Linked DNA regions of Daphnia pulex. The protein of the gene in region 4 purifies or fractionates together with the protein of the main gene of each other region. This does not show direct contact. Links are inferred from orthologs where the notes say so. Each region holds a gene or a part of one and is shown on either strand. Other genes may lie near its edges.

Region 1 (4,868 bases), about 1.8 Mb from region 4:
TTTTTTTTATAAATCAACAATATTTTATTTATTTTTTTGAAATTTGTCAATAGACCAACTACAATAATGCTCAGTCAATTGACCAAGCATTTTTCAGCCAGTCTTTGTCAACTGCACACAGTAAAGGCCGCGCATCTACTCCAGGTGAAACTCATACTAAAGGAGTTGCTGCGAATTCCAATTTTCCAGGGTAAATAATTGTTTTACCTCAGTTAAATTAAAGAAATTATAATAATAATAAGTATGAAATGTCTTTCTTTTTTTTTTAGATCTTGTACCACTTTGAATGAAAGTGATAAACCTTGGAAAAAACATAACAAGAAACATAAACGAGAAAAGCTTCGTAGAGTATACGCTCATTTGGATCAGTGAGCCTGTGTATCAAATACTGGAAATACAATTTGATGGTCATACTTCGTTTTTCTTTATATGGTAATATATGAGATGTGTATCAATAGAACAGAAGACAATGTAGTATTGGTCGTTGACATTTTGCTTCAAAATCTTGCAACATTTCATCAATATCATTATCAAGGTCATCACTGTTGGCCATCTAAATAACCAATTTAAAACACTTTAAAATAGCCATTAAAATAAAAAAAAGTTGCTCAATATTATTACCATGGACACCAATTCACACATGAGAAATGCACCTATTGTTGCCTCTTCATGGTTGTCTTGAATTTCAATGTTTACCACATGAACAGGAGTAGTCTGACTGTCTCTGCCTTCCAAGCCTTTTTTTAAATAAAATAGATGAACTGATTATATCTGAATTCTGAAATAACAACAAATTTCTCATTATTACTTTCAATCACTTGATCATAAACTCGTTCTTCACATGTAAGAATAAGATTAAATTGTTCTGTAGTCGACTGAAACCTCTCTGGGTGGGGTTTAATTCTCCTGTTTCTGTCTAACATATGAAGAAGTCCATTTCTAGTATACCTACAATAAAAATGTGTAATTGTAATGTGGATTCCTTCAAGTTTATTTGCATTTGAAGTTAACTGTACAATTCTCTATCCTTCTGCAAGAGATCTTGATAGATGTCATCATAAGGTGTCCCAAATTCATATACATTGGGTCTGTCAGGGGCTGCACCTGGTAATTTCACTTTGTCTCCAGTTCCAAATGATTGCACTCGATATCCTTTCTTGCTAAGGAAGTAATATAATAAACATTTGTTTAAGGTTATTGCGTGACAGATAACAGAATACTTCAGTTTAGAAAAGAACAACAACGATGCATAGCTTTCCGAAATAGTTAACATACAAAATACCTCAAAAAATTATGTGCTTCCATGCTGCGATTCATGTTACTTGAACAAATAACAGCTAATTTTAATGGCTGCGGCATTTTCTTTTTTATTTATAAATTGTTTAACACGACCGAAATGAATGATTCAATAAAATCAAGCAGACGAAACACCATCAACACTAATTACTCCCGCTAGGTTTCATTCCCAGTAATCTTAAAGTTATAAATGGATGGAATGTATCAGTTGATAGGCTTGAACCAAAAATTTTGTGTTAAAAAACATAGTTTGATTAGATTTAATTTATCAAAAGCTTAACAAATTCCACTTCTAATCAAACAATTATAGTAACATTTAAATCCGCTTGGGTGGGCATTTTTGTTTTTTTTGGTAGCAGACGTCTTTTATTTCCACATGGATCAGTATGAACCGGGTAGAAGTGTAGAACGTTGAATTGTTGAAATACTTTTCAAATATATTGGATGCAAACTTGAAACTTCCTAGCAAATGACTGATTTGTAAGGTCTATATGCAAATGGCACCACAAAATAAGAAAAAGAGTTCTTCAGCTCCCAAAAGGAAAAGGTTAATTAGAAAATATTTATTTTTGATACTTTAGGCAATATCGTTTGTTTTATGATTTGATAGAGATTTCTGTTCAGATCAATCGGATGACGATTTTGAAAAGACCTTAGTGCCCAAAAGATGTAGCAAATCTGTTTTACCGAAACCTGAAGCTAAAATAAGGGAGTCGGCTAAAATAAAAAAACAAACAAAATCAGATATTGCAAGTTGTTCAGTTGGTGATTTGGAAACCGCAATTAATGTAAAACCTCTCTCCAGAAAAAATTTCTTGTCATACATTACAAAAAGACAAACTGGCCAACCAATTTCAAGATGCTTTGAAAAGGTAGTATTACTCTACAATTGATTTATCAAGAATTCAACATATATATATATTTCTCAACAAACTGCTACATCATTTTCAGACCCTGAAGTTTCATGTTATGCAAAGTGTGCAACATTTGAAAGTTTTTAAGACTGCATCTCCTTTTGACCGTAGAATTACTTCCTTAGTATGGCACCCAAAGTCACTCACCACTCTTGCAGTTGGTTCCAAAGGAGGAGATATCATTCTGTGGAATCATCAGCATGAATCTCATGATGTCTTCATACAAGGAGTATTTTTCATAAAACTTAATCAAATAACATAAGATTTTATATTTATATAAAAGTTAGGGGCAGGGGGATCAATACAAGCAATGAAATTTGATTATAATGAAGATAATCACCTCTACACCTGCTCAATTGATGGAACATTCTGTAGGAGGAACTTAAGAAGTAACCAAGTTACTGTTTACTTAAACACCGGAGAAGACTGCTTCAAGTAAAACTTTTTGTTATTTAAGAAACATAATCTGGGGGTTTAGGCTTAGTACCTAATAATACCTAATATTTGTAGTAATTGGTACACCTCTTTTGATGTATCCTTCACTGGGGGACTTCTGCTTGCTGGAGATAATAAAGGATATGTAAATTTGCTTACCAAAGACGGGACTCCTATATGGAAACAACGTTTACATAAATCAAAAGTGCACCACATTGAATTCCACTCTGGGTAAGTTTAAATTGTTGGTCAACAAAACTGAATGAATTTACTTTCTTTTTTATTATTATTACCATTAAGAACGCCTTGGCTATTTGTCACATCGTCCGGCGATAATTTCGTTCGCTTGTGGGATGTGAGAAATATAAAGAATACCGAAAGCGCGCTTGTAGAACTTAAGCATGAAAAGGGAGGCGTAAATTCTGCGTATTTTAGGTACTTTTTTTTATGGAAATGATTTTTGCAAATGGCATTTTATTGAAATTCTATTTATCTTTTCGTAACTACTAGCCCAGCACACGGAACAAGGCTCTTGATTACAGATCAACACAGCGAACTGAAAATTTTTTCTGGCCCACTTTGGAATTTGGAAACAAAAATTCTCCATCCTCACCGACATTTTCAACACATTTCGCCTATTAAAGTTTGATTTTAAAATTTATAATATTTAAAATAATTTATCCTTTATGCTCTTTCGCTATATTGGATCGACAGGCAGATTGGCACCCATTAGAAGACATTATTGTAGTTGGACGATATCCAGACCCCAAGTTCACGGGCTCACAAGGAATGGATACATTTAATCCAGGAAGTGAACCCCGCACTGTGGATTTTTTCGACGCATCTGACGGGGAGCTGATTTGCCAGCTTGAGCCAGTTGGACAGAAAGGGATCATGTGCTTAAATCGGTTTGATCAATTGGGTAACATATTAGCATCTGCACATGGGGCGCATATTCTTTTATGGGCACCAAAATACTCGGAGACAAACATTCCTTCTACTAGTGATATTTGCCAAAGTGTTCAGGCACCAATGCGTCGTCCTCTTACAATGGATAATGATAATGATTTAAAGAAGAAAAAAAGAAACACTTCATCTCGAAAACAAAAATAGTTGAATATTACTAAAAATAAATAGAGAAGAACCTGCAATCTTTGTTGTAGGATACCGCTTCCTTAACTGTTCAAAACTATTTGTTTCTTTGTTTGTGTTACCTAAAATTAAAACTGAAAACAAATCAAAAATAGGAATTACCTGAATAGTTTCTGCGAAGTGCGAATACATCGGTTTCATAAAAATTGGCATTTCGGTTCTCGATCGTAGTTACTCGTTATTAGTAATTTGAGATCAGGAATAATGACATTATTGTAAACATTAGATTTGAGATGTGCACCTTAAAAGAATTTGGATCGATCGATCAAGAAAGAAGATCGACCATTGGTTAAAATGGTAAAATGGGATGGATAGATGGGATGGGGCCTTTATTTTTCTGAATGTTTTACTCAAGCAGTAGGTAGCAATTAACTTTAGTTTAGTGCATTAATGTTGGAATGTTTATTGTAATATTTTCTCTAGATTCAACATGCCAAAGTTAGTTGGAAACCTAACTCAAACTTAGATAACCGTTGCTGCTGCCTTACAGCCACTGGCAGGAAAATTATTCTTTTTTTTTAGAAAAAAAATGGAGTGGTGGAGTTCTATTGTCACGTAGTGGAGTGGACATTAGAACTCCACTACACGACAATAGAACTCCAATAATTTTTAAAATTTGAGTTTTATTGCCGACAGTAGAACTCCACTAGTACCACTACGCGACAATAGAACTCCAATATTTTTAAAATTGGAGTTCTACTGTCGGGCATTGGAGTTCTATTGCCGGGTATTTGTAATCCGCCGCAGTTGTAAATGTGAATCATAGATGGCGATGAAACTTGTATTTTAGTCTGCTAAAAAAGAGTCAAATAAAATGTCTGCAATCGTCAACCTACGTGTTTTCCGTAATTTCAGCAGGTGTCAACTAGACCCATTTCTAATTATCCCACATCATTTCGTCAAAATGAAGAAATTCAAAAAGTGGATGGTAACTTTCATCTTTTTAAAATGGCGCTTAGTATCATTAGATTATGTACACGTGGATGGCATGTGCTGTAACCTGCTTTCTGTTTAAATTTATTAGGAGATGACGAATTCAGTTCGCTGGATCTGAGTCCCAACAAGTCGTTG
Region 2 (4,861 bases), on a different chromosome or scaffold from region 4:
TGATTTCAGGTTTGGTTGCTGATTTTCATCAGCATTTTCCCTGTCATTGGCGCGATGACTTTTTTTACGTGGTTCTACCAACATCTTCATTGGAATAACGATGCCGCCAAGAACAACAATTCCATTCGATGGTTTACAACTATCCCTAGTTCCCACATGATTTACGTGATTAATACCCTGACGAATCAAGGTAAACGATTTTTTGCGATTATTTCAACTTAAATGTTTTGCCGCTAGTACTCTGCCGCTAATTTTCTTAACTTTAATAGGGGGTAGAGAAGCATTTAATCGCTTCTCATTTCGGGTCCTGACTGGAGTTTGGGTTTTGTGCGCTATGGTTTTGGTCAATTGTTACACTGGAATCGTCACATCTTCACTCACAACGCCAAAGATGAAACCGACCATAAACTCATTTGAAGACTTGGCCGCAAGCGAAGAAGTTGGTATAGTTCTGCGAAGTGATACGACGATCGGAAATCAGATCCTGGTGAGGTCATTTCTCCTTTATTTTCTAAATCAAATCCTCATAAGCTGTTCCTGGATTCACTAGAAGGCGACATCCGGTATTTATAAGGTTCTTGGGGATGAAGCCCGACGTAATCCTAATCAAATAGTTGACAATCCTTTCAAGTTGACCGCAACACTGGAAACTGGACGCTACGCTTATCCTTATGTAAGTGTATAAAGACAGAGATTAACATGATCAATTTTTGAACTTTTCTGTTTCATTAGCTGCACTCTTTATGCTATGCCTTTGTCTGTTCTCAATATGAGAAAGACGGGATGTGTCGCTTTAAATTATCGAAACTTTTGCCCGTTTCCATTGGATTTACGTCTTTGTTTTTTAAAAAAGGAAGTTTGTTTACTAAAGATATGGACAAAGGGTATGTAACCATTTTAAACACCCTAAATTTTTACATCTTGATTTTTTATTTATTTATTTCAATCCTAATATATTTACAGACTTATGGAACTGTGGGAGAGTGGACTTGTCCGTTTATGGATTAATAATATTCATTCTACTCCCAAGGCGAAACAGTGTTTTGCCGATACGAAACGTGGAGTCACCCGCGTAGTCCCCATTCAACTGTCGGACTTAATTAGCGCTTTCTTTATCCTTGCTATCGGTATTGGATTGGCGACGCTGAGTTTCTTACTGGAAATAATCCTATCAACATTACGTCGAGAGAGGCTTTAGTTAATTTAAGCATTTATTGCAGCAGGTATGTGCTGCACTACATCAATAGGGCACGTTGTGTAGTTTCTAATAATAGTCTTTTCGTCTAATAATATCCTCTTTTATATATTTATATATACGTCTTAAACAACCTTTACCGAATTTTAATCCGTTTTTACTTCTCCTCCTGGGGCATGCGAACGTTTTTAGCTTAGTCTTGTAACTCCTGATACGAATTAACTAACTAGCAGTTGATTTGCTAGAATACACATTTGTTTAAAAGTTTGATTGTCTCAAGAAATTTTATTGGTTGCTACAGTGACTAAAAGAGGCAAATTTAATGCTGCCCAACGGTAGGTCGGTAGGTAATGAGGAAAGACAGGATAAAGTTTATTACACGTGAAGCTCAAGTTATCGTCGTAATTCAGTAATTGTAATGGAAATAATTTTGAAATCGTAATAAAAGGCCTAGCTTCTAAGATATGACAACGAAAATCACTTGATTGCAATCCTGAAAAATTTGGTTGGTATGAATTTGGTTCATGCGTTGGTTTTTATCAGAGAAAAAGAAAATGAGGAAGAAAAGGCTCAATTTCAAATTTTGGCGGTAATTTTTTCTCAAAGGTTTAGAATTTCAACACTAGATGTCGTTTGCGTAAAGCTTTTTATCAAACATTTGCTGTCGTCTGCCTAGTTGCGTGACATTTTTTATCGGGTTAACTAACTTTGTTATTGAATAAACGGTGAGACAACAATCTACCTTCAAGTAAGAAGCCGAATCACAGCACGTTATACGTTTACTGATTTAATTGTCCCAACAGAAAATGAACTCTGACGATGAAGACAGAGACAGCAGTAACAGAGATACTTCATCGATGTCGGACGAAGATTCTGATACCGACATAGCCACAGTTCTTACCCAGCTCATCAGGAGGTTAGTTAGTTATCCCTTCATGATAGTAGAGTGGCTTGCAGATCATCTTAATATTCAACAATTCTTTCCCTTTCTGGGAAACCACAGTGGCCGAGCTCACATTCTTTCAGAAAGAAACTCAGTATTTGAAGAAAGAAACGAGTCTTTCTTTGATTTCCTTCCAAATGCCCAACCACCCCCTGTTGACAGCACACCTGATTTAACTGTTCTTGAGGTAAAATGAGTTTGTTTAGACATAACAAGAAGGTACCTCTTTTTAATACCAGTTTTTCTCTAGGGGACTGATTTGTACTTATCAACATCTCTATCATCAGGAATCTACAAGCACGGTTGCAAATCCCATTCCACTCGTGTGACATCACTACTGTACCAGCGTCAAGTAGGGATGAAGGGTACAGGGCATTTTTCTGGTGGAGACAGGAGCTATATTGGCCACAACTATTTGCCTAACAAATTCAAACAAGTTGCCAACTGCAATCACAAAATGTTTTGCGGGACATATTCTAAAGATGGCAATATTTTCCTCAGCGCTTCACAAGGTATTACAATTGACTTTGTGTTGCGCAAGAAAAGATTTAATCTTTGCTTTTCTTCAAATTCATAGATCGAGTTATCCGTGTGTTTGACACATCAAAAGGCGGATTTGATTGCATAAGGAAAATCCCCGCCCGAGATGTCGGATGGAGTATTCTAGACACAGCGTTCAGTCCTGATGGACGTTCCATCATTTATTCTAGTTGGTCGGAAGCCAGTAAGTACCTTGAAACATAATTCGACTTAGTAAAAATGTTGTTAATGCGTTTGGTTCCATTTTCAGTCCACCTTTGTAACATTTACGATGAGGTGGAAAGACATGAAGTTCTCCCACTTTCCCCGGAACTCCGACGGTTTTGTATTTTCAGCCTTACTTTTTCTCAAGACGGAAATGAAGTATTGGGTGGTGCCAATGACGGCTGTTTGTACATTTACGATTGCGAAAAACGACAGAGAACGCTCAGGGTAAAATTACTATTTTGTTTCGTACCCACCAACAGTCCTTAATTAACCTCCCATCTTGTTTAGATTGATGCCCACGAAGAGGACGTGAATACTGTGGCCTATGCTGACGAAACTTCGCAGATCCTATTTTCTGGAGCGGATGATGGATTATGCAAAGTTTGGGATCGTCGAACGTTGGCGGAAAACGGAGAGGCTAAACCGGTGGGCATTCTTGGTGGCCATGTTGACGGACTTACGTTCGTCGACTCGCGTGGAGATGGCAGACATTTGATTACAAATAGCAAGGACCAATCCATCAAGCTGTAATCTCAATACTTGTTTTATCTATCGTAAAAAAAAAAACATTTAAAAAATGTGCGATTAATTAGATGGGACATGCGCAAATTCTCAGGAAACGAAGTTCAACAAAAGACTAGAATGCTTATGAACGCCCAAAGTTGGGATTATAGTTTCCAAAACGTTCCGTGGAGGCGTAAGTTAACTTTTTGTTATTGTTTATGTTTAAAATCTCAACTGAATTATTATTCTTTGGCAGTGGCTTCTCCCAAAAACAAGATCGCCGGTGATACTAGTTTGATGACATACCGCGGACACAGTGTCTTAAGAACTTTAATCCGATGCCGTTTCAGTCCAGCATTTAGCACTGGGCAACGATATATTTACAGTGGTTGTGCAGCTGGAAAAATTTTCAGTGAGACCCCAATAACCTAGTATTATCAATCTAAACCAATTTAATTTTTAAATATTTGCAATTTTAGTTTATGATGTCCTGACTGGAAAGCCTGCAGCGATTCTGACTGGTCATTCTGAATGTGTTCGGGACGTCTCTTGGCATCCATACTCCATGGATATTATCGATTCAGCGGTATGAAATATTATTTCTAATTTTTCTCTATGAATTCCCAAAGTTTAATCAACCGGGGTAATAGTGGGACGGCCGACACTTCAAGTGGTTCCATTCCTCAGCCGATTCCGAGGACGAAATGGATTTGGACACGGAAGAGTACATTACCGACAGCGAATCCAACGATTCCAATCCTAATTGGATGCAGAGGCAGCGCCGCTCATATCGAGATGACGACGCGGCTGATGGCGGAGGTGATCGCGAAGTGCGTAGGAGTCCACGACTGGCCGCTCGAGCAACTCCACAGACGGCCCGGAGAACGTCACAGAGGCAGCGACAAGCAGCCAGCCGCCGCCCTCTTTCATAAGTCTTGTCCGCACCATATATCCTTTAATACAACACACTTGTTTCGAAACACTTCATAACTACAAAAAAAAAACGCAACGCAGTCATTTGTTTCAATTCTGTGTACAGTTATTGGTGTTACCTTTAACTGAAGCAGGCGTGGTGCGCTCAATTCACGCGCTTCTATCGATACGTTAACCTTCCCTCTTTTATTTTACTTTTTTGTGATAGATGATCAACTTCCTCCCGGGTACGATGCATCTAGTTGTGCTGGATAATTTGATGCGTGTGAAACTCTCAAGTAAATGAGAGTGGAAATTTCCAAGAACAATTCTTCTTGTTATTTGTATAATTATTTTTTTTTTTTCATTTTTTTCTCCTGGGTCTTTTATATGTTTATAAAAAAAGGTCTACGTGTACTACTTTTGGGAAGACGGAAATACAGGGCTAAATTCTACGCCAATACGGATTTCTACTCAGCAGAGATTTACAATAACTGCAATTTGATATTTTTGTATTTCGTCAAACAAGGGCGTGAAAAGACTCACTGTCATATGAGATT
Region 3 (4,961 bases), on a different chromosome or scaffold from region 4:
CGGTCGTTCGTTCCACGCAAATAGGACAGCCATTTGAAATGTTGTAACATCCAGATCAAATCTTCCAACTGAATTGGCAAACTGAATCTAAAATGAAATACAAGGTTTAGAATCGGCTGCACTCGGTATTAAGTAACGATAATCACATATTCGGTGATTGATTATTTCTTCCAAAGATCTGGATGTGAAGAATTTTAAATAATTTATAAATTATAAGGAAGACTCACAGTTCCATTTGACATATGATGATGCCACTGAAGTTTTCGTCCACTATGCTTTTTCCTGTAGAAATCTTCCACTTCTGGTATGTAGTCTTCTAACTCCAACGGCAACGACACTGTCACTCGGTCAGATCCACGAGCCCAAGCTCCAGCATTCAGGATTTTAATGTTAATCGAGTCTGGTAATCGTTTAAAAAAATTAATCTTTATGTTAACTTATGCGCCCTTTCTATGAGGTATTACCAGCAATGCTTCCTTTGGTCTTCCTATATTCCTCTTTGAATTGTTGATTCAAGTCTTCGCTGATCTTGATATCTTGGAACATACGGGCAAGCTTGTGAACATAGTCGGCTGGCATGCCAACTTCTCTCAACCTTTTTCATGAAAATAATTGTAAAAAATGCAAAATGAACGTAAAAATTAGTTAGTGTACCATTCAACCATGTTTTCTTCTTTTTCGCTGTCAGCTGAGGTGTCCAAGATCAATCTTCTAGTTAAATGCGCTTTGTGGAACCGCATGAACACATCTTTGTTTTGAACGTATTTCAGAACAAGTAGCTAAATGGCAACAAATGAAGCATATGAATAATTATTTAATCAAACGAAAACATTACTATGCTAGCGTGACAACACCAACTTTTTTTTATCTTACCACATCCTTTAGTTTGCTTTCAATTTCATCGGAAGTGAGTTTTTTGCTTAAAGGTGTCTTACGCAGAAGCATGTCACAGAAATTAGCTAGCAGCTCTGGGCAACGAGATTCAGGTTGGGTTTTGACTCCTCCACTGGAGCCAGGTCCTTGCTGAAAACACAATTTTAATTTTAAAGTGTTAGTTTAATGTCAACGGAAAAATTTTTTTGGCATAAAGCAAAGGTAAACAGAAACAGGAAATTACCAATCGAGTGGGTAAATCTAATCGAAAGACTGAAGTATCATTCACAACATGTTTATAAGCTTTATCACGAGCAGTAAGGAACCGCGGGTCATCGTCGAAAGCTTCCTTAACCAAGAGGCTAAACTGATTGAACAGTGTCAAAAGTCGTTCCACATATTTTTCAGAATCCTACCAATAGCATTAAAAAATTATGAATGAGTCATGAAGACATTAACACTAGTCTATCAATGTACTTGAGTAATTAATTCAGCTGCCACCATCATATCCGCCAATCCTGCGTGAATAATGTGATCTTCTAAATATTTTAGCATAGGTGCAATTCCATCGGAGACTCGATCCATCAACCGGAACATCATACGCAATTCTGTGATTAAAAATTTAAATGTTACTCAAACTCCACCTACGACACTGTAAATTTTCAATATTAAATGTGGTAAACATACTTTGAGTTTCGTCTTGCTTAATCATAGAAGAACATTCAGCTAGAATGGTTTCCTTGAAGGCTGTCACCAAGACATTTACGCAACATCCGTTAAGCTTGAAAGAAAGATTTAAAAAAATTATAACCAAATCTTAAAATAAGTAATAAAAAGCCATTAGTACAGTAGCAATGGAACACGATTCTAGATATTTATTGGCTCGCTGCTCCTCTTCGCGTAGTTTCGATTCTGCGTATCTCATGTAATTCTGAACACCATTGATTTCCAAATATTGAGGAGCTTTCAACTTGTAAAAAGCTTCGGTGGAATCTATATAAGCCCTCTCAAAGTTATCCATATAAATGGTCAACTTATCTTCAGAATTTGAACAAAGGTTAACTGCAGGAAGTAAGTAAATATTAAGCAGTTGAAACAATATCTTGCCATAGAAATGTTTTACCATAGGACTCTCTCACTCCAATGACCAACTGTGAGTCAAAGGCTTCTCCATTTCTTTCAGCATGGACTAATTTCATTGCTGAGTCTTGTAATCGGTTTTTAATGTTGGAGAAAATACTAAAGTTCCAGGAATCCAACATTAGCTAAAACACAGAAACAAAATATTTATCAAAAAACAAGTTATTCATTAAAAATGTATTTATTGTTTACCTTTCTGACTAGACTGTCATCAGTGTTTTGCTGGGGCTTTTTCTGTATTGAGTTGTGTGTTTTACCTTGAAGTGCAGTTTCAAGCTGGAAGAAAGGCATGGGCAAATATGAGCACTGGGTAAAAAATTTACGCCATTCACTGATGTAAGCCCTCAACAGTGACTGGTCTTCTTCATGAGTTAGTACTCTCTGATATAAACAAAGAGGATTAATAGATGCATCTCAATTATTTTAATCATTTACACCGATTGCAACAGGAATATGTAACTTACTGTCTGTGCTTGCTTGATGAATTCCAGAATATCATCCTGCAATGCCTTGTACATTTTGGCATGTGATTTTTCATCCCACAAACACACCATGTGTACAGACCAAAACAGTTCATGCCATTCAGCTCGACTAACAGGCTCTTGACGTAACAGTTTCAAAATTGTTGGTCTCATAAGAGGCCATTGTTCTTCAAATACCAATTGTCCTTTATCCTTAAAAGTAAGAAAACATATTTTAATTGGTTAATGTTGATGCGATATATTTCGATCGACGAATTTGTTGATGAGGTTATGAATCATGACACTACTTGCAAGTGCATAATCTAAAGACTTGATATTTCTTTCTCATAACAAATAAAAACATTTACTAGTTCTTTATTTACCTTCCACATTGATGCTGCCATTTCTATTTCTTGATGGTCTAGCCGTTTTTCAGTGCTCCTGTTCTTAACATCGGCTCACACACACACTCTACCAGTAGGCTGTCGAAGTTAACCGGTTAATCGGAATACCGGACTGAAGCCCCGTCTTGCCACGACATCTGCCATGACCTTTTTGAATTTTGATTTTTTAACGAGCGCCAATGAGCGCATAGAAACGGGCTTGGATTTATTGCTTTGTTTGATTCTTCATCTATTTGTGTGGTAACGACCACTGACTAGTGAATCAAGAACATAAGCGACACAAGTATTTAAAACTAATTAGTAAAAATTTTGTCGCTGACTTTTTATTATGTCTCGTAGTTAAAGATTTCGAATTTATATTAATTTCGTTGAGATCTGAGTCTTATCTATCATCTATCCGGATGGATCGAGGAATTTATCTGTGGCTAAAATGTGTCTCTCATATTTATCCAACATTTAGTAAGTACTCTTGCAACCAGTAGATGGTGGGCAGCTCATCATGGCTGTTGCGTCAATGCTACATTAATATGTTATGGCTACTATCCCAGTTCCCAGGCTATCCCCGTCTGTTCTTCCACTTCACGTTATTTCCTCGTTTACTCATGATAAAAGCGTACGTGAGACGCATTTGGCCAAGTATACTTGCAGGACCGGCTACAGCTTATAATTAAACTGCAACTGGTAGTGAATGTGATAATTGATGTGGCATTCAACATTATTATTATACGCACGTATCAAGGTTACTTTGATCACAAGCTGCTTTGATAGTACGCAAACAAAACAGTCAATTTCCGCACTCCCTTTCAATTGCTTGCTGCAGGCTACTCAATCTCTATAAATAGTTGTTTTTCCTCTTTCCAAGGCTTAATCTCGATATGACCTTACAAAAATGATTTCCAAAACAAAAATGTTAACATTACATATCAAAAGAAAACGCCGATGAGTACTACATCAGAAGAGTTAAATTTTTCTGCTGCTGATGTTCTTATCAAGATCCTATAAAACTACGCGGACTATTTTGTTTTCATTATTCGACAATCGCTAAAAGCAAAAATGCAAATGAGCATTGAAGATATTTTCGTCCGTATTCAAGCCTCGTTCTCCATTTTTTTTTAAAAACCTTATAAAGAAGAATTGCGTCAATCTTGTATAATGTCTGGCTTTCCAAGAGCAGTCAGAATTGCCCAGTACGAATGTAACCGCAAATTTTTGTAATCAAGAACGTACCATGTCGAATCATCCACCCGTCTCGCATGTCATAAACAAAAATTTTTGTTTTCGCTTAAATAAATCGGAATCTACTATTTGAGAAATGCATTTTTTTTAAAATCGAATTATCTCTTATTTGATTTTCCCACCCCCCGCATCAAATTTTCCAGAAAACGCTGGAACCGTGTAAAGAGAACTAGAGAAGCTTTTCCAATGTTTAGATTTCTCTTTTTCTTTTATATTCTCCTCAGAGACAGATGCCCCGGTCAGCGTCCGGCTTTTTTAATATGTGTGTGTTACGCTATGTGTTCACATAAGCCAGCAGAAGTCGCACAGAAACGGCGCTAGAGTTCGTTTCCGATTTCTATAACATTCCTACATCATCTTGTGGATATTTCTGATATATTCAAAATCGGGAAAACTCACGATCAAGAGTTAATAAATTTCAAAAATTAAACTTGGTCGAGTAAGAGTCGTGTAAACCGCTGCTTTCACTTGATATCGTGTTGTATAAATGGGGGAAAAGCTCACACGACGGAATGATTAGAAATTGCGCGGACTCTTTGTTTCTAAACAAATCGTCCCAGACTCCCGTCTTCTGTTGTCGACAGTCTCGAGGGGTGCGTCAAAAAGTTTTTCTAAACGTGGACGGAGGGGGGAAATCGTTGCAGCAGATGTAAAATTCCTTATCAGACATAGATCGTATTTCGTGCACTCTACCCTTGAGAAACATTTGAGTCCTAGTCCCGACTTCATTCTTACTCGTGGCGTCAACGTGGCAGCTCGCTTCCTTAAGAGAATGAGAACGTCCATCGGGGAGTTTATTACAGTGGGACTTTGCGTCTTTTTATTTGCAAGCTGCACACAGGCCACC
Region 4 (4,631 bases):
AAAAAAAAGAGAGATCGGCGGGACCCGTCCGCGCTCACGGTTCTCTTTTCCCACGTTCTTGGGTGGCCGTCGCCGTCGCCTCCAAGGCTCTCGTGCAATGACCTTGCGCCTTCCAACCTTTCCGCCTTGTGCGGAATATCCTTGAACTTTGATTCTTTTTAGGATTCTTTCGGATCCATCACTGCCTCTTTTTATTTTTCTTTCCATTTTGTGTATTTTTCATCTTTTTTCTTGTCTTCCGGAAGTCTGGGCTGGAATCCTGCAAGCTAATTGTTTCCTCATGTGTGTATTTCTATCCCTTTTTATTTTGTCTTTCCCTTTTTTAGTTTCTTCAAGATGCTTCTCCCCTCCGCCGACGACGAACGGAATGCGGAAGGAAACGGCAACGTTGTCGAGTCTCTCCCCTCCCTCCCCTCAACACCTTGTATATATCTGTTGTTGAACAACTGCCGTTGCATAAATACGGCGCTCTTAAAATATCGTTCTTTCATTATCTTCTGCTGGGTATTGTAGGCTTCCCTTTCCGTCATAAACTGGTTTGTGTGCACCTTATGCGGACTTTCTCGAAGCGCAGAGAAAGAGAGAGCAGGCTCACACAGCCTCCTTTTTGTATTTTTCCCGTCTGCATTTTTACCGGTCACCAATGTGGGACAGACAAAGTTCATTGGAATGCGCACATCTTTTCTCTTTTAATGTCCTTCCTTTATTTACAACCTTTCTCCTACTTATTCGTCTACTAGGCCACTTAGCAGACACACATCTCCGCCTGCCTCCAAACAGTTTGGCGTTTTTCGTTTTTAATCTTATCACATCAATGCGCGCGCGCCCTCTATCTCTTGGTGGTAGACACTCCTCGAAGTTGGGGCTCTCCATTCATCCGCCGTTGGACCAAGCAAACAGTATCCAGTCGGCTTCGGCCATGTGTGGGTGTGTTGCTCTACCGACAGTGTGAATTTTCGGCTTTTAAACCTCGAGACTAGTTTTCTCAGTGATCTGCCAGATATTGTTTGAATTTCTGAGATCATTGTGAAAGCTGATTTTGTGGATGGCCTCGACTAGATGCATAGACAGACTGTCTGACTTTGGAATTTATGTGTGTTGGAAATCGTGTACAGTTTTATGTGTGATGTTTATCAATACAATTTTTGAAAAAAAAAAACTAAATTTTTGTTTTTAATCCGTGTATGAATCCTCACTTAGTTATTTAACAAAAAAATGTGAAAGTAATTATTTTATCGAGACGTTATGGATTAGTTGGTGTTTTAAAGAGCATCATAGGTGATCACATGGAGAAGGAGGGAACTTTGGTTGCCGCACCGGCCTGAAGGGCTGACGAAGCTGAACTCCTCCCTCCATCGTCCTCTTCCATGGCACCTGACGCCTTCTTCACGAAAACCGGGTTCGTGCAGATGGCTTCCTCCATCTTCTGCACCTGCATGTCCAGCTCGATGCAAATGTTGACCTACCCAAACGAGTAGCCATGAGGTCAATTATCTGGTACACATTTCTGCCGGCTACTATCGAAATACCTCTTTCTGAACGCGCTCAACAGTTGAAGTGCTGTCGTATTTGTCCGGATTGTCGTGAAACAATACCATCCCGTCTTTCTGGCTAATGCTGGCGTAAATATCCCCATCTTCAATCTTTTGAAGAAGAAAACAAACACATAGTTTGATCGTCATCTTTTAGCATCTTGAAAGCAAATACCATGGTCAAGACGAGTTTTTCCGCTTCCATCACGCTGGGCAACTGAACTCGCAGGGCCATATCGCTGAGCGAAAGCGTCAGAAAAGTCTGAGTCAGTCGCTGAATAATCTTCTTGTAGAGCGATTGTTGTACTTGTTTGGCCAGACCCCAGTTATTTTCACGCTGTAACAATTCTCGGTGCTTTTGGAGGACAAGTTCCAGTGACGTCGGCTTGTTGGTAGCAAATACCGTCGTGATTTCGTGGTAGATGGCGCTCATGGGTTTCAGGAGCCGATTAACCACTTGAGATGTGTATTTGGGAAGAGGTGCCACCTAGTCTCGTTTCAAATGACAATGTGAATCGGAAATTGAACGAACATTGCGCGACTATTTGATCCATACCTTTCCATGAAGAATGAGTGAGACGAGAATGTACTTTTTGTACGATTCCAGCATGATGTGAGATACGGCTGAAGATGGTGTCGTCAAAGCTACTTCGAATGAATACAGGGCTCGCTCAAAGTTTTTGACAGCCATGTTGATAACTCCCCCATAGTAGTAGTAGAGCAAGAAATGCTTGGCATCAAAATATCCATTCTACAAACACATTTGTCATTAGAATTTTCTGTAATCAGTGCACTAGAACCTGAAAAAGCAATTTACCTCTGAATTGATTTCAGAAATCTCAACATTCAAAAACTCCAAGGCAGGTTTTAAATTCTGTGCCATCAAACAGAGTTGGAGAAGGCTAGCGTGGATAGACGTCAGCTGTGTTTCATTCATTCTGGCTTTCCGAATAGCTTTGGTAAGGGGAACAATACCCCTGGCAGGTGTCTCTCGTTCCACTAGGCATTGGGTAAACTGGTTACACAGCTCAGCGACTGCACAGAACAATTTATTATGAATTATTCAATTGTAAGAGTGCAATATTAGAAGCTTACATGAGTCAGGAGCACAGCGAATTTGTTCACCATTGCAAACTGTGATGAACTGACTGACTTGACTGATGAGCACTTCGGGTTCTGGAACTTGAATTCCTTGATTTTGAGCTGCATTTTGGTTGAGAATCATGAACTTTACCATGTAAATTGCCAAAACACCTAGACTGTGAAGTTGTGGGTCAAGAGTATCCAGAACAGTGTCTAAATGTTCGGAATTCCTCATGAGTACGTCGGGCGACTTGCCGAGAAAATCATATAGTTCTCGCCAGCTTCCTATCAGTTTGATACATAGAAAATTGAATATTTTTAGTGTCCACAAATTATGAAATACAACTGTCGTTCAAAACAAACCTTCGCCAGAGAGATTACGAACAGAATTTACAAAATGTTCTAGGGATGACGCCATATTCAAATTTGAAGAATATTAGATTGAAAGATATTGAATTGAAGAGAGAAATATTTGGATGAGCCAGCAAACGTCGTCTGCAGTTGTCTTTATTCGTTGATAAACGCGCCAATAGAGGGTATATTCGTAGATGCAAGTAGCACCACTGGCGGGTGGCGGCAGGATCACACAAACACTTTTACTGAATAATTTAAAAACAAAATGAACATAATTATAAGCGAAATAACCGCGATTTAATTTTATTCTAATTTGATGATGAATAATCGAAAGTAATCAAGTTTTTAATCAAATAAGAAACTTTTTTTATGAATCCCTGCCATCTATCATCAATGAAGTTGAAATTTTAGCAGACGTTAAAAGTTGAAAGAGGAAAAAAACAATAACAAATCCCATTTTCGCCTACTCTTGAATTTGTTGTGACAATTCTATGTATTTCTGGTATTTTTACAAATAGTTCGAATTTTGTTGATTATTTTCCTGCTTTGAATAGCCATTAGTATTATAATGGCAGTAAAATTTGGTTTAAGTTTGAATCGAATTCTCCAAAGAGCCTTACCTCAAGTTCATAATTGCAAGCTACTGCCATGCTTACAGATCCGTCACATTCATATAAATAGTCTTCATTTTAAAAATAAAGAACCCAACGAACTGATTGTTAGACCTTCTATGTTTTATGTTCCAGAAGGAGATAGAAATAAAGACACATTCTTAGAAGCTGTAAAAATTTACACAACAAGACCAGGGCCCCGTAGGGCACAAGTGGAATTCATCTATGCTGCTCTGAAGGAAATGGAAGAATTTGGTGTGCATCGTGACCTGGAAGCATATAAAGACATCATTGATATATTACCAAAGGGAAAATATATTCCAACAAATATGTTTCAAGCAGAATTTATGCATTATCCAAAACAACAGCAATGTATAATAGATGTTCTGGAACAGATGGAAAACAATGGTTAGAATATCTTTGCCTCAAATCAGTTTAAATTATTTTATGTGTTTTTATTTCATTTTTAGGTGTTTGTCCAGATAAAGAAACTGACCAAATGGTTCTTAATATTTTTGGTCGCCATGGAGCTCCCACCAAAAAACTTAGAAGGATGGCTTATTGGATGCCTAAGTTTAAAAACCAATCTCCATGGGCACTCCCCCAAAAGATTCCTAACTCAAATCTTGAAATAGCAAAACTTGCTGTCCAGAGAATGGGTAGTGTTGATCCAGCTACAGAGATGAACATTTTTCAGACTAGTGAGTTGCAAGACGCCATTGACGATACTTGGATCGTCAATGGTCAAAGCGCCAATCAAAGAGACCTTTTAGCCAAACTCAAAGAAAAGCAAACCGTCTACGTTGAAGGCGCTTTCACAATTTGGTTAAGAAGAACCAGTATAAATTACTTTATTTTGCGTTCTGAACCTGTTCCGTTAACGGAAGAAGAGCAGAAACAGCAGAATGAATATGATTATGATGGTATGTGTACTGAAACAGTTTAGTTTCAATTTTCTTCATTCTAGTTTTCTAATTTTATTCTTCGATTTGTTCAAGATGTAAGTGAACTGCGTTCGTGGATGTTTGGGGAAGAAAATCTTACTCGGAAA
Region 5 (4,855 bases), on a different chromosome or scaffold from region 4:
TGTTCCAACAATTCCAATCCAAATTTCTGGAACTTGACGTGCTCTTGACGTTTATCTTGCAACACTGGTTCTCTCATGAGAACCTGAGACAGAATTTGGGTTGATATTAATTTACAAAATAAGAAATTATTTTTTATGATTTACCTGCAATTGACCGCTGGTGAACAAGGGTAGTTTACCCATGATTTGGCGAGCATTTTCGCTGCGTGCAAGACCTAACAAGGCCTTACAGGCTAAAGCGCGAATCGAGTCAGCATCCGTAATGGGTGTTTTAACAGATAGAAGGTCCATTAACACCATGATTCCATTGTGGGATCGTACACACTCCCAAACTTGGTTGAGAACCTCTTCGCTCGTTCGACTAGCCTATACAAAGCACAATGCGTAAATACATAAATTCTACAATAAGAAAATATCATTGAAATTACCACGCTGCGTCTTTTGGCACTGCCATTAAATCTACCGACAGAACCTCCAACTCGATGGACGGGAGCACAAACGCAGTGAATGAGTACGCAAAGAGCGGCACGCTGAACTTCGGGGTCAGCTACAATGTCTCCTTCAGCTGCTCCAAGTAGAATATTAATGCCTACAGCATTGGCGTCATCCGGAATTTGAATACGATCACAAAATAGCATCTGAACTCTGAAAGAAACAGAACAAACGGCTAAAACATCCTGCAAAATAAAATAAAATATATTTAATAATTTAACTTTAAGAATATATTTAATTTCTTTACCAAAGCGCTGCGAACAGTCTCGGCACGTCCGGTAAAATTCCATAGGTAGGATATTGCAATAACTTGTAGAAGCAGAGGGATACCCCCGAGGCTAACAAATTCATTGACGGGTGACCAACTTGCCCGAAACGGAAGCAGTTCTTGAGCAGTGGTGATTAGATCGATAATTTGATCTGCATTAAGCTTGATTGCTTTGTAGGGAGGTGTTGACGGATGGGGAGAACCACCCATTTCACGAACTCTGATCCGTTGAAGATGTTCAACTTTCCCAGCCAGATGAATTTCAAAGTATCGTTTTAGCGCCGCACAGACGTGTCGAACGGTTTGGCGTGCAGCATGAGATTCGTCATCATCCAACAAATCACTTGCATCTTCCATTGAAAGTATTGACAAAGTGCTGATCATATTGTACAACCGGCGAAGACCATCCTGGGCGTCAAACTGTTCCAAAATAATGCGGAACTGAAACGATGTCCCAAAGAACATGGTAGCGTGACAACGTCCAGATTCGTGCGAACACTCCAGTAGCCAAAGAGCATATCGGACTAGCTCTTGAATGACGTGATCTGGTAAGAGACAGACTCGCTCCATGGCATCTTCGCAATACGCAATGTAATAAAGACACATGGCAACTCCAGTTGCAGCAATGCTCGGCCGTGGAATTTCAAGTAAGCGATGCAATCCCTGATGATGAATAAACTCGATGGCAAATTTTTTGTGACAAAGCAGTGCTCCGAGATATTTAAGTGCTTCGAACGATAAACGCGAATCTTGGGTCTCGTCAAAGTCGATGTAGTTAAGAATAAGGTCGAGCGCCTTTTGCTCGAACATGTGAACTAGTAACTCTTGATATTCACCCATGGGTGTTAAATATCGCAAGATTAAGATTTGCCGAGTTGAGTCCGTCAATGGATGCATTTGATACGTTCCTATAAATAAAGTAAGAAGTGTTAGTTTTTTAACTTTACAGACACACTTGTTGCATGGAGAATAATCTTTTACCGATGACGTATGATTCCATTTCGGCCCAAGACGAGTTGCTAGAATCATTCATAGCTGATCCATTCAGAGATGCATTTCCACTTTTTCTCTCTTTGGAACCTTTAATCCTGCCTTGAAATTTCTTTGCTTTGTTATTCTTTGGCAATTTTCCTTTATCGGAGGCTCCATCGGCCGGTTCTGGTCCAGGCATTAATTCAGCATCTTCATCCTTTGGGACCTTTGAACTGGAAGATGCTCGACTCTTACTACTCGCCGTATTCTTTGGGGTTTTGCTCGAGGTACTCGGTTGGTCGCTTGAAAATTTTGAAAATCTTTTGATTTTTCCGAGTTCGTCATTTTTCTTTTCTTCGGCACATCTCTTTTGGATTTCCCATAACCTTTTCAACATTAACGGTGCTAGATGAGCGTTTAACTCACGAAAGTTAGCAGCCAAGTCTTGTAGTTCCATCGCAGCAGCTAGCAAACCAGTAGCGTAGCTTTGAAGTGGTTCTGGACCTTTTTCTGCCCAACTAAAAAGTCTGTTGATCAATCCTTCTGTGTCTTGAAACACCACAGATACTTCTAAGCCTGGCATTAAATCTAGAACAAGACGAGCTGCAGCTGTATTGAGTTCCCTTGAATCTCTGGTAGAAATGCCTAATCTGGTCCAGTAAGTGTCACGTAAATAGTCTCCAACTAACTAATATTAAGAAAAATGAAAAAATAGCATTTATATTTAGAATGAAGATCAAGGCCAAGTAAATGAAAATAATACTTTTTGCATAAAAATTTCCTTCTTGAATATTATTTTAAGCATGTGTCCAAAGCTGCAATTTGGATTCCTAGAAGGGTTACGATCATCAAAAGGATCTGGATCCATTTTTAGGTAATTTTCTGTTTCTGTTTCCAAAAGTTCAGCCAGTCTTGAAAACAAAAATTAACATGATTAAGAAAAAAAAAATCTTGCAAAAAAACAAATAACACATACCTAGAAAGATAGGGAACAGGATCAAATGTTGGTGCTACATGATGTTCCTCAAATAACCTCAAAATAGCACTGACATCTGACATTTCAGTCAGATTTACGGTGTCGTTCGCCATACTGGATGACTTAAATGTAAATAAGAACAAATTAGCTGAAACTTATCGACGCCAAAATGAAACACAAAAGGACGTTTTTGGAACCCAATCACAATTTCACAACACGAGTAGAATAACTTCAATGGGTCACAAATCTTCACCATAAGTTAAAAAAAAACTATTGCATTATAAACAACAAAAACTCACCTTCGAACTGTTACGTCTATCTGAAACTACAACTTCCCTTATTAAAATTAAGTTTCTTTGAAATTGCTGCAGAAGTGTGCACCACGTTCTGTGTAATTTCTATGTGCAGACTTGAGAAAAAAACGTTGTCAGATTAATATTTTGGAAAATTCTTGCGAATTCCATTGTTTGCTTGTTTGAGGAAGTTAGACCTCCAGAATACAGATTTAAATGATAAAATTATAGCTAAAATATTTTTAAAATTTCTAGCAAATTTTCATATTACAAATTGAATGATATTTCTCACAATTGGATTTTTCAATAAACTTGACAACAATAGCTTTTCTTATGGTTACCTAGCGTGCTTAAAAAACTGTGTCTGCTTTTGTCGTCCTTTTTGTGAATCTTTGTGGACGTTTTTTTTTTACGATTGTTATGTGACATTTTCTTCAAATATTTTGTGGTTTGAACTTTGAAAGTTACTCACATTCTTGTCGTAAGTGTTGACACGTGTCGGATCAAAACGTCGGGCATAAGAGGAATAAAGTAAAAATGGCTGATGTTTTGGATATCTTGGAGCTAGGGAGACCGGGAACTCCAGAAGTGACGAAAGAAAGTATTATGGGAACGCAAAAACCGAAACCTAAATACAAACCTAAAAATGAAGTTTTACGTAAACCTGAGGGAATGGCACGAGAACTTTTCAATCTTTTGGTCAATGATAGTAAAGATGCAGCTCCTCTATTTCCAACTGACACAGGTAACAACTTTGTCTGTCTGCAATTTGTGTGCTTCCAGTAAGGGAAAGAAATATTTGTATGCCAAAGATTTCATAAATATTTCCAATCAGGTAAAGGATACAAGCAAGCAAAAGCTCATTTAGGTGTCCGTAAAGTGAGACCTTGGAAGTGGATGCCCTTTACTAACCCAGCACGGAAAGATGGAGCTGTATTTCACCATTGGCGTAGAGCTGCAGATGAAGGGAAAGAGTATCCATTTGCTAAATTTAACAAGGTTGATTTCCATCTTTTTTAATTGATTTGAAAATTTCTTTTATATAAAAATATTTTTTTTTAGCAAGTCCATATATTTTCTTACACTGATCAAGAATATCAATTACTACAACTTGATAATTGGACAAAGCAAGAAACAGATCATTTGTTTGACCTCTGTCGGCAATTTGATCTTCGTTTCACCGTTATTCAGGACCGCTGGGATAGTACACGATTCTCAAAAAGGTCAATCGAAGACTTGAAGGAGAGATATTATGATATCTGCAACATATTAAACAAGGTAAAGGATATTTGTGTCTGTGTTACCTAGTAAAAAAATAACTGTATATTTTTTTTTAAGGCAAGGCATACAACAGGACCAGAGCCAAAGAATATTGCTTACGATGCCGACAATGAAAAACGTCGTAAAGAGCAGTTAAAGAGGCTATTCGAACGTACGTCAGAACAAGTCGAGGAAGAAGCTAATCTACTCCAAGAATTGAGGAAAATCGAAGCCCGCAAGAAAGATCGAGAACGAAAAACACAAGATCTCCAGAAATTGATAACAGCTGCGGACAGCGGAGGTTCAGCTACTGCTGCTGCGGCAGACCATTCCCCTGCAACCCATCGAGGCACACCTCCCGACAAAAAACAACAAATTCGAAAGAAAAATACCCCATTTGCTACACCTAAAGCAAAACTTGAGCTCCTGGTAACCAAGCTTTATTTATTTATTTATTTTTTTATAATAGTTTTTCTTTGTTTAACTCATTAAATGATGAAATTTTTCATGAAATTTAATGAGCAGCCCTCCGTGGAGACACCTAATAGCGGAATTAAGTTTCCGGAGTTTAAAGCCAGTGGTGTATTTTTACGC
Region 6 (5,133 bases), on a different chromosome or scaffold from region 4:
AAGGAAGTCACAGACCATCAGTCTTATAATAGCATTTATTTCCAAAATTCACCGTTTAACAAACTAAATAGATTTCTACTGCAGGTTTGAGTTTTGCTTTTCCCCCAAAGGTTCTGTTAAATATATACAACAGTTGATTAGACTAGATTAGTTATCACTAATTAAATTGTTGATGCAGCGGATAGCCTCTTGGAAGCTCGGGCGAAGCTTTCGGACTTCTGTCTTGACGATCGGATAAGACAGTTTGATTTCTCGGTGAAACAGGCTGGATGCCAGCGTTTGGCTTAAATAAGTCTCCCATATGGTAAAAGGTGAATAATGAGCCTTTAATTATGCTAAGCTGGAGAGCGTATTGCAAAACTAACGCCCCCAACCCTTTGTACAGACCCCACCTCCCTTCTTCGCGGGTAATTGTATTCCAGCAGTCGAAAAAGCCATCATAACGTGTTAGAATTGGTATAACAGATGCACCGGTGTCCAAATTATCGATAATAGTACGTGTTCCTTGAATATGCAGCCTGTTGAAAATTCAGAAGGCGTTTAAGTTTATTATTTAAATTCAAAAAATGAAAATAATCGTACCTATGGAGAACTGTCTCGAAGGGAAAGAGTAATACGTCCGCCACTAACGACCCAGCAAATCTTGAAGACAAGTCAAGATCGTTTGCTTCGACGAAACTCACTTCTTTAGAAAGGGCACCCTGAAATCAAGTGAATATTAATTATTTCAATATAGAAAATTCCGAGCGTATTGAAAATATCAGAGTTAAATCAACAGTTACTACAAAAACCTACCTGTTTACGCTGGCTTCGTTTTTTAGCTGAGGTCATTCCCCAGCGAGTCAATCCCGCTGAAAGCACTGAGACGATGTAATGAACCGTCCCACATAAAACAGCAGGGCACAAAATAATCCATATTGGTAACAATCGACCTAAAAATATTTTAAATGATGCAATAGAGAATCCTAGTAAATATTTTGGAAAAATGTTTTACCTGTTTGGGGGGCAGACCAGCTTAAGAACCTATAAATCCCTTCTTGAAAAACATCAAAGATACCCGGCTTTTCACTTGCAATATCAGATTGAACAGTTTCTACAACACTTGCTGCATAAAATGGGATCACGACAGCTAGGGAAACGCTAGGGAACCAAAAAATAGATTTAAAAATTCTTTAGATATCTGCTAATAATTGTCGTATGACAATTTCAATGTGTTTTTGTGATACCTTTTCAAGAGGATGTGGTGTCCAATTGCTTTCAATGAGCTGTTACGATCAATTTCTCTAAAAAAAAAAGAAAAAAAAAACAAAAACAAGTGAATATTCTGTCAGTCTAAATATAAACACACACTGGCTATTTCAATGAACACAAGAGGACAGCTTACATGGCAACATTTGCCACTTTATATGCTAAATTACTTTGGCCATGGTGTTATCTTGCTCAGTACATCCTCAATGGCTAATGTGAGACCTCTCACAATTAAAGCACTGCCAATTCCTTTCCATAACACAGTCATGCTTTGTCTTTGGTGTAGCCTAATGACTACTGGGACCAAGCTGAAAGGTAGTGTATGGTATTTTCTAGAAAATACATTAACCTACAGATAAGCAGTATTAAAAAATTTACTATCAAATTAACGTAAAGAATTTTTCACCTGACACTGTCTTCGCAGAACTAAAAATGGATGGCATAGTAGATTTTCAGCTGCTAGTCTCATAATACCAAAACTGGGATTTGGGATTCTACTTGCATCAATCATATCATCTTACAAGAAAATAAAAATTATGTAAAGTCATTGCAAAAAAATGTGTGATGATAAAAGTCACTGTTAATACCATATCTATATTTCGGCGACGTAATAGCTTTGTTTTCATGTTGTATCCTACCATCAGTTACTGCAGAAGCAGCAGAATCAGCTTTTTTTATCCAAAAGGGAGAATTTTCTAAACTGTAATAGAACGAGTAGTCCTCAGTTCCAGCCATACTAACCTGTACACTTGATTTGATATTAATGTTTATGAATTCCAAGTAAAAAAAAAACAAACTATTTTCGTATTATGGTTAACTTTTTCTTTCGTGATACGCAGCAGACGAATAACTACTAATAATGAGCTGCCATCTGATGATAAACTAAACAACTTTTCCGTTTCTTCGCGAAGGCCAAAGGGGCCAGAGCAGACGAACCCACACTGCGCAATCGTTTTATTAATCTTCAGAATCCTTGTTCTGTGAAACCAATTGTATTCTTATTTAACCCCAGGGTCTTAAGATTCTCGAGTAAATTGATTATTCAAGGAATCTGAAACTTTGTCCTTCATTTACGATACGAAAAACAAGTAAATAACTTAAGGTCTTTTCATTGCTATTGCCAGTAGTCATTGCATGATCGTTTGTACGAAGATCAGTTTTGGTTTTCTCCCGTTGAACTTGGAAATAGGGACTCTGGCTTTTTTTGTAAAATTCCTATGATCCACTTTTTGGACTTTGATTCAGCTGTTCTAATAACTGCACAAAATGTCTCTTAAACCGAAGCGTGTAGACTTTACCACAACTTGGGCTGATTTAAAGGAAACAGTTAAAGGTGTTGTAACTCTGGGAAATGTTCCTCATACTATATGGTACAATCGATTCAGTGATGTGTATTCCCTCTGCGTGGCTTACCCAGAACCTTTAGCTGAGAAATTGTACCAAGAAACTAAAAAGTTTTTGGAGGAGCATGTTAAATCTCTTTTCATCCAAGTGAACGGCACCAGTGAAGAACAGCTTCTGACTGTGTATTACACACTTTGGCAGCAATATAGCCAAGGAATGGACTATTTGCACAAACTTTACTCGTAATTTATTCATTTCTTTTCTCTAATAAAACAAGTTAATACATGCTTTTAATTCAAATACAGATACCTTAATACCCAACACATCAAGAAACAAAAAGCATCTGATGCCGAGCTTCTTTATGGGACATTGTCTTATGAATCACCTGAACAAATGAAAGAAATCGGAGAATTGGGTAATCACTATTTGTAATTTTTTTGGTGTACTGAATCCTTATCGAAACTTGCTTGCTAGGTTTGGATTTGTGGAAGAAGTATATGATAGAGCCATTGAAAGCCGACTTGCTGAGATTACTTTTGGGAGGCATACATTGTGACCGAACTGGACAATCTTTGTATAATGAAAAGTCATCAACAATTCAGGGTGTGATTCAGTCGTTTGTTTCAGTCGAGGAATACAAGAAGAAGAACACCCTCGAACTTTATGAGGCTGTTTTTGAAGGGCCATTTCTTGAAGCGACCGGTGAATACTACAAGTAAGAAATAATTAAAATGTTAAAAATTTGCATATTACAGTTGTTTGGTCAAATTTAGGCAAGAAGCTAGTCGCTTGTTACAGGAATGCACAATTTCCTTGTATATGGAAAAAGTTTTGCAACGTCGGGACGAAGAAGATTTACGTAGTCGGAAATTCCTGCACCCAAGCTCTTACAGTAAAGTTCGAACTGAATGCGAAAAACGAATGGTAGCAGATCACTTGGCGGCTATCCACAACGAGTGCCCGACAATGGTTCAACAAGAACTCCAACAAGATCTTCGAAATGCGTACGCGTTGTTGAAGGTGAGAGCTTATCTTATTGCCTCGTAGTATAAATTTTAATTGTTTTCTAAAATTTGTTCAGTCGATTCCGGGAGGTTTGACTGTTCTGGTGTCGCACGTCATGGAACACATCAAACAACAAGGATTGCGAACAGTGACTAACCTGTCAGGAGACAACATTGCTGCCCAGTTTGTAGAGGGCATGCTTAGTGTCCACTCCAAGTACAAGGAGATCACCAACACTGTTTTCAGTAATGATCAGCTATTTAGCAGCGCTCTAGATATGGCCTGTGCTGCAGTCGTCAACCATCGCTTCAATACTAAACAAAATTGTAGGTCTCCAGAACTACTTGCCAAGTATTGTGATACTCTCTTGAAGAAGTCAACAAAAGGCGGTAGTGACACCGAAGTTGACGATAAGTTAACACAGTGCATTACTGTATTCAAGTACATCGACGACAAGGATGTTTATCAAGCTTTTTACTCACGGAAGTTGGCACATCGATTGATTTCACAACAGAGTCAAAGTATGGACGCTGAAGAGGCAATGATCAACCGATTGAAACAGGCATGCGGATATGAGTTTACCAACAAACTTCATCGAATGTTCACGGACATGTCCGTCTCATCAGACCTGAACAACAAGTTTAATCTGCTGAACAAAGATCGGATGATTGAATTAGGTCTCAACTTCTCCATCTATGTCTTGCAAACCGGTGCGTGGCCTAGACAAGTCTGCCCTACCGATTTCGCCGTACCCCAAGAGTTGGAAAAATCGGTCCAAGAATTTGAAGATTTCTATCGTCTACAGTTTAACGGCCGGAAGCTTGCATGGCTACATCACTTGAGTTACGGAGAGCTGAAACTGAACTACTTGAAAAAGCGTTACTTCATCACCATGGGAACCTTCCAAATGGCAATGCTTCTTGTCTTTCAAAAGACCAATTCCGTGACTTGTGGAGAACTCATGGAAGCCACGAAGCTTAACTCGGATCAATTCCAAAAGGTCCTTCAGAGCTTAGTCGACTCAAAGCTTTTGGCAGTAACTAGTGACACTGTCGAAGTTTTCCAACCATCTACAGTCATTTCCCTCAATATGGATTATAGTAACAAACGAACCAAGTTTCGTATTAACAACACTATCCAAAAGGAGACTGTCCAAGAAACCGAGACGACGCATTCTTCTGTAAACGAAGACAGGAAAATGTACCTTCAGGTAAGAATTATACGAATATTTTAGCGTAATGCGTTAGAAATCCGAAAACAAACTAAAGTTTTTTTTTTTTTTTCATTTGGCTTTCCAAGGCTACAATCGTTCGAATCATGAAATCTAGGAAGATTCTTCGCCACATGGTCTTAATTCAGGAGGTGTTGAGCCAGTCCCAACCCCGATTTGCTCCTCCCATTTGCATGATAAAAAAGTGCATTGAGACATTGATTGACAAGCAGTACCTGGAGCGTACCCCTAATTCAACGGACGAATATAGCTATGTGGCATAGAAAATGCAATCTCAACGTTAGTTCGCAATATCATGCTGTAAT

Evidence for each region.
Region 1: the proteins of COP9 signalosome complex subunit 3-like (region 4) and DNA damage-binding protein 2-like purify together in Homo sapiens (affinity purification with mass spectrometry; 7 studies listed by BioGRID and IntAct, with this or other methods). This does not show direct contact. The link is inferred for Daphnia pulex from reciprocal best matches to the Homo sapiens genes COPS3 and DDB2.
Region 2: the proteins of COP9 signalosome complex subunit 3-like (region 4) and DDB1- and CUL4-associated factor 11-like purify together in Homo sapiens (affinity purification with mass spectrometry; 3 studies listed by BioGRID and IntAct, counting the BioPlex papers as one, with this or other methods). This does not show direct contact. The link is inferred for Daphnia pulex from reciprocal best matches to the Homo sapiens genes COPS3 and DCAF11.
Region 3: the proteins of COP9 signalosome complex subunit 3-like (region 4) and cullin-5-like purify together in Homo sapiens (affinity purification with mass spectrometry; 3 studies listed by BioGRID and IntAct, with this or other methods). This does not show direct contact. The link is inferred for Daphnia pulex from reciprocal best matches to the Homo sapiens genes COPS3 and CUL5.
Region 5: the proteins of COP9 signalosome complex subunit 3-like (region 4) and DDB1- and CUL4-associated factor 1-like purify together in Homo sapiens (affinity purification with mass spectrometry; 5 studies listed by BioGRID, with this or other methods). This does not show direct contact. The link is inferred for Daphnia pulex from reciprocal best matches to the Homo sapiens genes COPS3 and DCAF1.
Region 6: the proteins of COP9 signalosome complex subunit 3-like (region 4) and cullin-2-like purify together in Homo sapiens (affinity purification with mass spectrometry; 5 studies listed by BioGRID and IntAct, counting the BioPlex papers as one, with this or other methods). This does not show direct contact. The link is inferred for Daphnia pulex from reciprocal best matches to the Homo sapiens genes COPS3 and CUL2.

The regions. Positions count from the first base shown.
Region 1 is NC_060018.1:5,111,356-5,116,223, reverse strand, and holds DNA damage-binding protein 2-like, read left to right. Parts: upstream 1-1,657; 5' UTR 1,658-1,787; coding exon 1,788-1,843; intron 1,844-1,906; coding exon 1,907-2,168; intron 2,169-2,247; coding exon 2,248-2,439; intron 2,440-2,493; coding exon 2,494-2,645; intron 2,646-2,720; coding exon 2,721-2,876; intron 2,877-2,945; coding exon 2,946-3,080; intron 3,081-3,155; coding exon 3,156-3,288; intron 3,289-3,359; coding exon 3,360-3,758; 3' UTR 3,759-3,943; downstream 3,944-4,868. Other genes in the region: large subunit GTPase 1 homolog, read left to right, coding at 54-190, 270-372; RNA polymerase II subunit A C-terminal domain phosphatase SSU72-like, read right to left, coding at 452-553, 622-737, 809-948, 1,017-1,160, 1,283-1,359.
Region 2 is NC_060025.1:8,379,189-8,384,049, forward strand, and holds DDB1- and CUL4-associated factor 11-like, read left to right. Parts: upstream 1-1,835; 5' UTR 1,836-1,943; intron 1,944-1,998; 5' UTR 1,999-2,001; coding exon 2,002-2,325; intron 2,326-2,388; coding exon 2,389-2,650; intron 2,651-2,715; coding exon 2,716-2,862; intron 2,863-2,928; coding exon 2,929-3,110; intron 3,111-3,173; coding exon 3,174-3,412; intron 3,413-3,478; coding exon 3,479-3,582; intron 3,583-3,645; coding exon 3,646-3,801; intron 3,802-3,868; coding exon 3,869-3,975; intron 3,976-4,039; coding exon 4,040-4,321; 3' UTR 4,322-4,762; downstream 4,763-4,861. Other genes in the region: glutamate [NMDA] receptor subunit 1-like, read left to right, coding at 10-190, 270-487, 551-673, 733-884, 964-1,198. UniProt on the Homo sapiens protein: May function as a substrate receptor for CUL4-DDB1 E3 ubiquitin-protein ligase complex.
Region 3 is NC_060021.1:667,791-672,751, forward strand, and holds the start of cullin-5-like, read right to left. Parts: upstream 3,013-4,961; 5' UTR 2,879-3,012; coding exon 2,858-2,878; intron 2,688-2,857; coding exon 2,478-2,687; intron 2,395-2,477; coding exon 2,206-2,394; intron 2,139-2,205; coding exon 1,997-2,138; intron 1,936-1,996; coding exon 1,721-1,935; intron 1,655-1,720; coding exon 1,561-1,654; intron 1,482-1,560; coding exon 1,351-1,481; intron 1,286-1,350; coding exon 1,118-1,285; intron 1,024-1,117; coding exon 874-1,023; intron 780-873; coding exon 655-779; intron 596-654; coding exon 465-595; intron 401-464; coding exon 228-400; intron 88-227; coding exon 1-87. Other genes in the region: glycosyltransferase 25 family member-like, read left to right, coding at 4,887-4,961. UniProt on the Homo sapiens protein: Core component of multiple cullin-5-RING E3 ubiquitin-protein ligase complexes (ECS complexes, also named CRL5 complexes), which mediate the ubiquitination and subsequent proteasomal degradation of target proteins.
Region 4 is NC_060018.1:6,888,395-6,893,025, reverse strand, and holds COP9 signalosome complex subunit 3-like, read right to left. Parts: upstream 3,139-4,631; 5' UTR 3,034-3,138; coding exon 2,979-3,033; intron 2,901-2,978; coding exon 2,628-2,900; intron 2,568-2,627; coding exon 2,350-2,567; intron 2,284-2,349; coding exon 2,089-2,283; intron 2,020-2,088; coding exon 1,708-2,019; intron 1,644-1,707; coding exon 1,530-1,643; intron 1,463-1,529; coding exon 1,283-1,462; 3' UTR 1,165-1,282; downstream 1-1,164. Other genes in the region: evolutionarily conserved signaling intermediate in Toll pathway, mitochondrial-like, read left to right, coding at 3,538-3,988, 4,051-4,503, 4,579-4,631. UniProt on the Homo sapiens protein: Component of the COP9 signalosome complex (CSN), a complex involved in various cellular and developmental processes.
Region 5 is NC_060022.1:4,446,827-4,451,681, reverse strand, and holds the start of DDB1- and CUL4-associated factor 1-like, read right to left. Parts: upstream 3,137-4,855; 5' UTR 3,008-3,136; intron 2,831-3,007; 5' UTR 2,822-2,830; coding exon 2,709-2,821; intron 2,644-2,708; coding exon 2,496-2,643; intron 2,421-2,495; coding exon 1,742-2,420; intron 1,669-1,741; coding exon 740-1,668; intron 678-739; coding exon 429-677; intron 367-428; coding exon 145-366; intron 84-144; coding exon 1-83. Other genes in the region: mRNA export factor GLE1-like, read left to right, coding at 3,539-3,746, 3,837-4,000, 4,064-4,279, 4,340-4,690, 4,787-4,855. UniProt on the Homo sapiens protein: Acts both as a substrate recognition component of E3 ubiquitin-protein ligase complexes and as an atypical serine/threonine-protein kinase, playing key roles in various processes such as cell cycle, telomerase regulation and histone modification.
Region 6 is NC_060021.1:10,405,174-10,410,306, reverse strand, and holds the start of cullin-2-like, read left to right. Parts: upstream 1-2,151; 5' UTR 2,152-2,514; coding exon 2,515-2,834; intron 2,835-2,897; coding exon 2,898-3,007; intron 3,008-3,066; coding exon 3,067-3,307; intron 3,308-3,365; coding exon 3,366-3,612; intron 3,613-3,673; coding exon 3,674-4,807; intron 4,808-4,896; coding exon 4,897-5,091; 3' UTR 5,092-5,133. Other genes in the region: solute carrier family 25 member 46-like, read right to left, coding at 158-518, 583-701, 796-932, 995-1,140, 1,227-1,283, 1,419-1,597, 1,655-1,764, 1,836-1,983.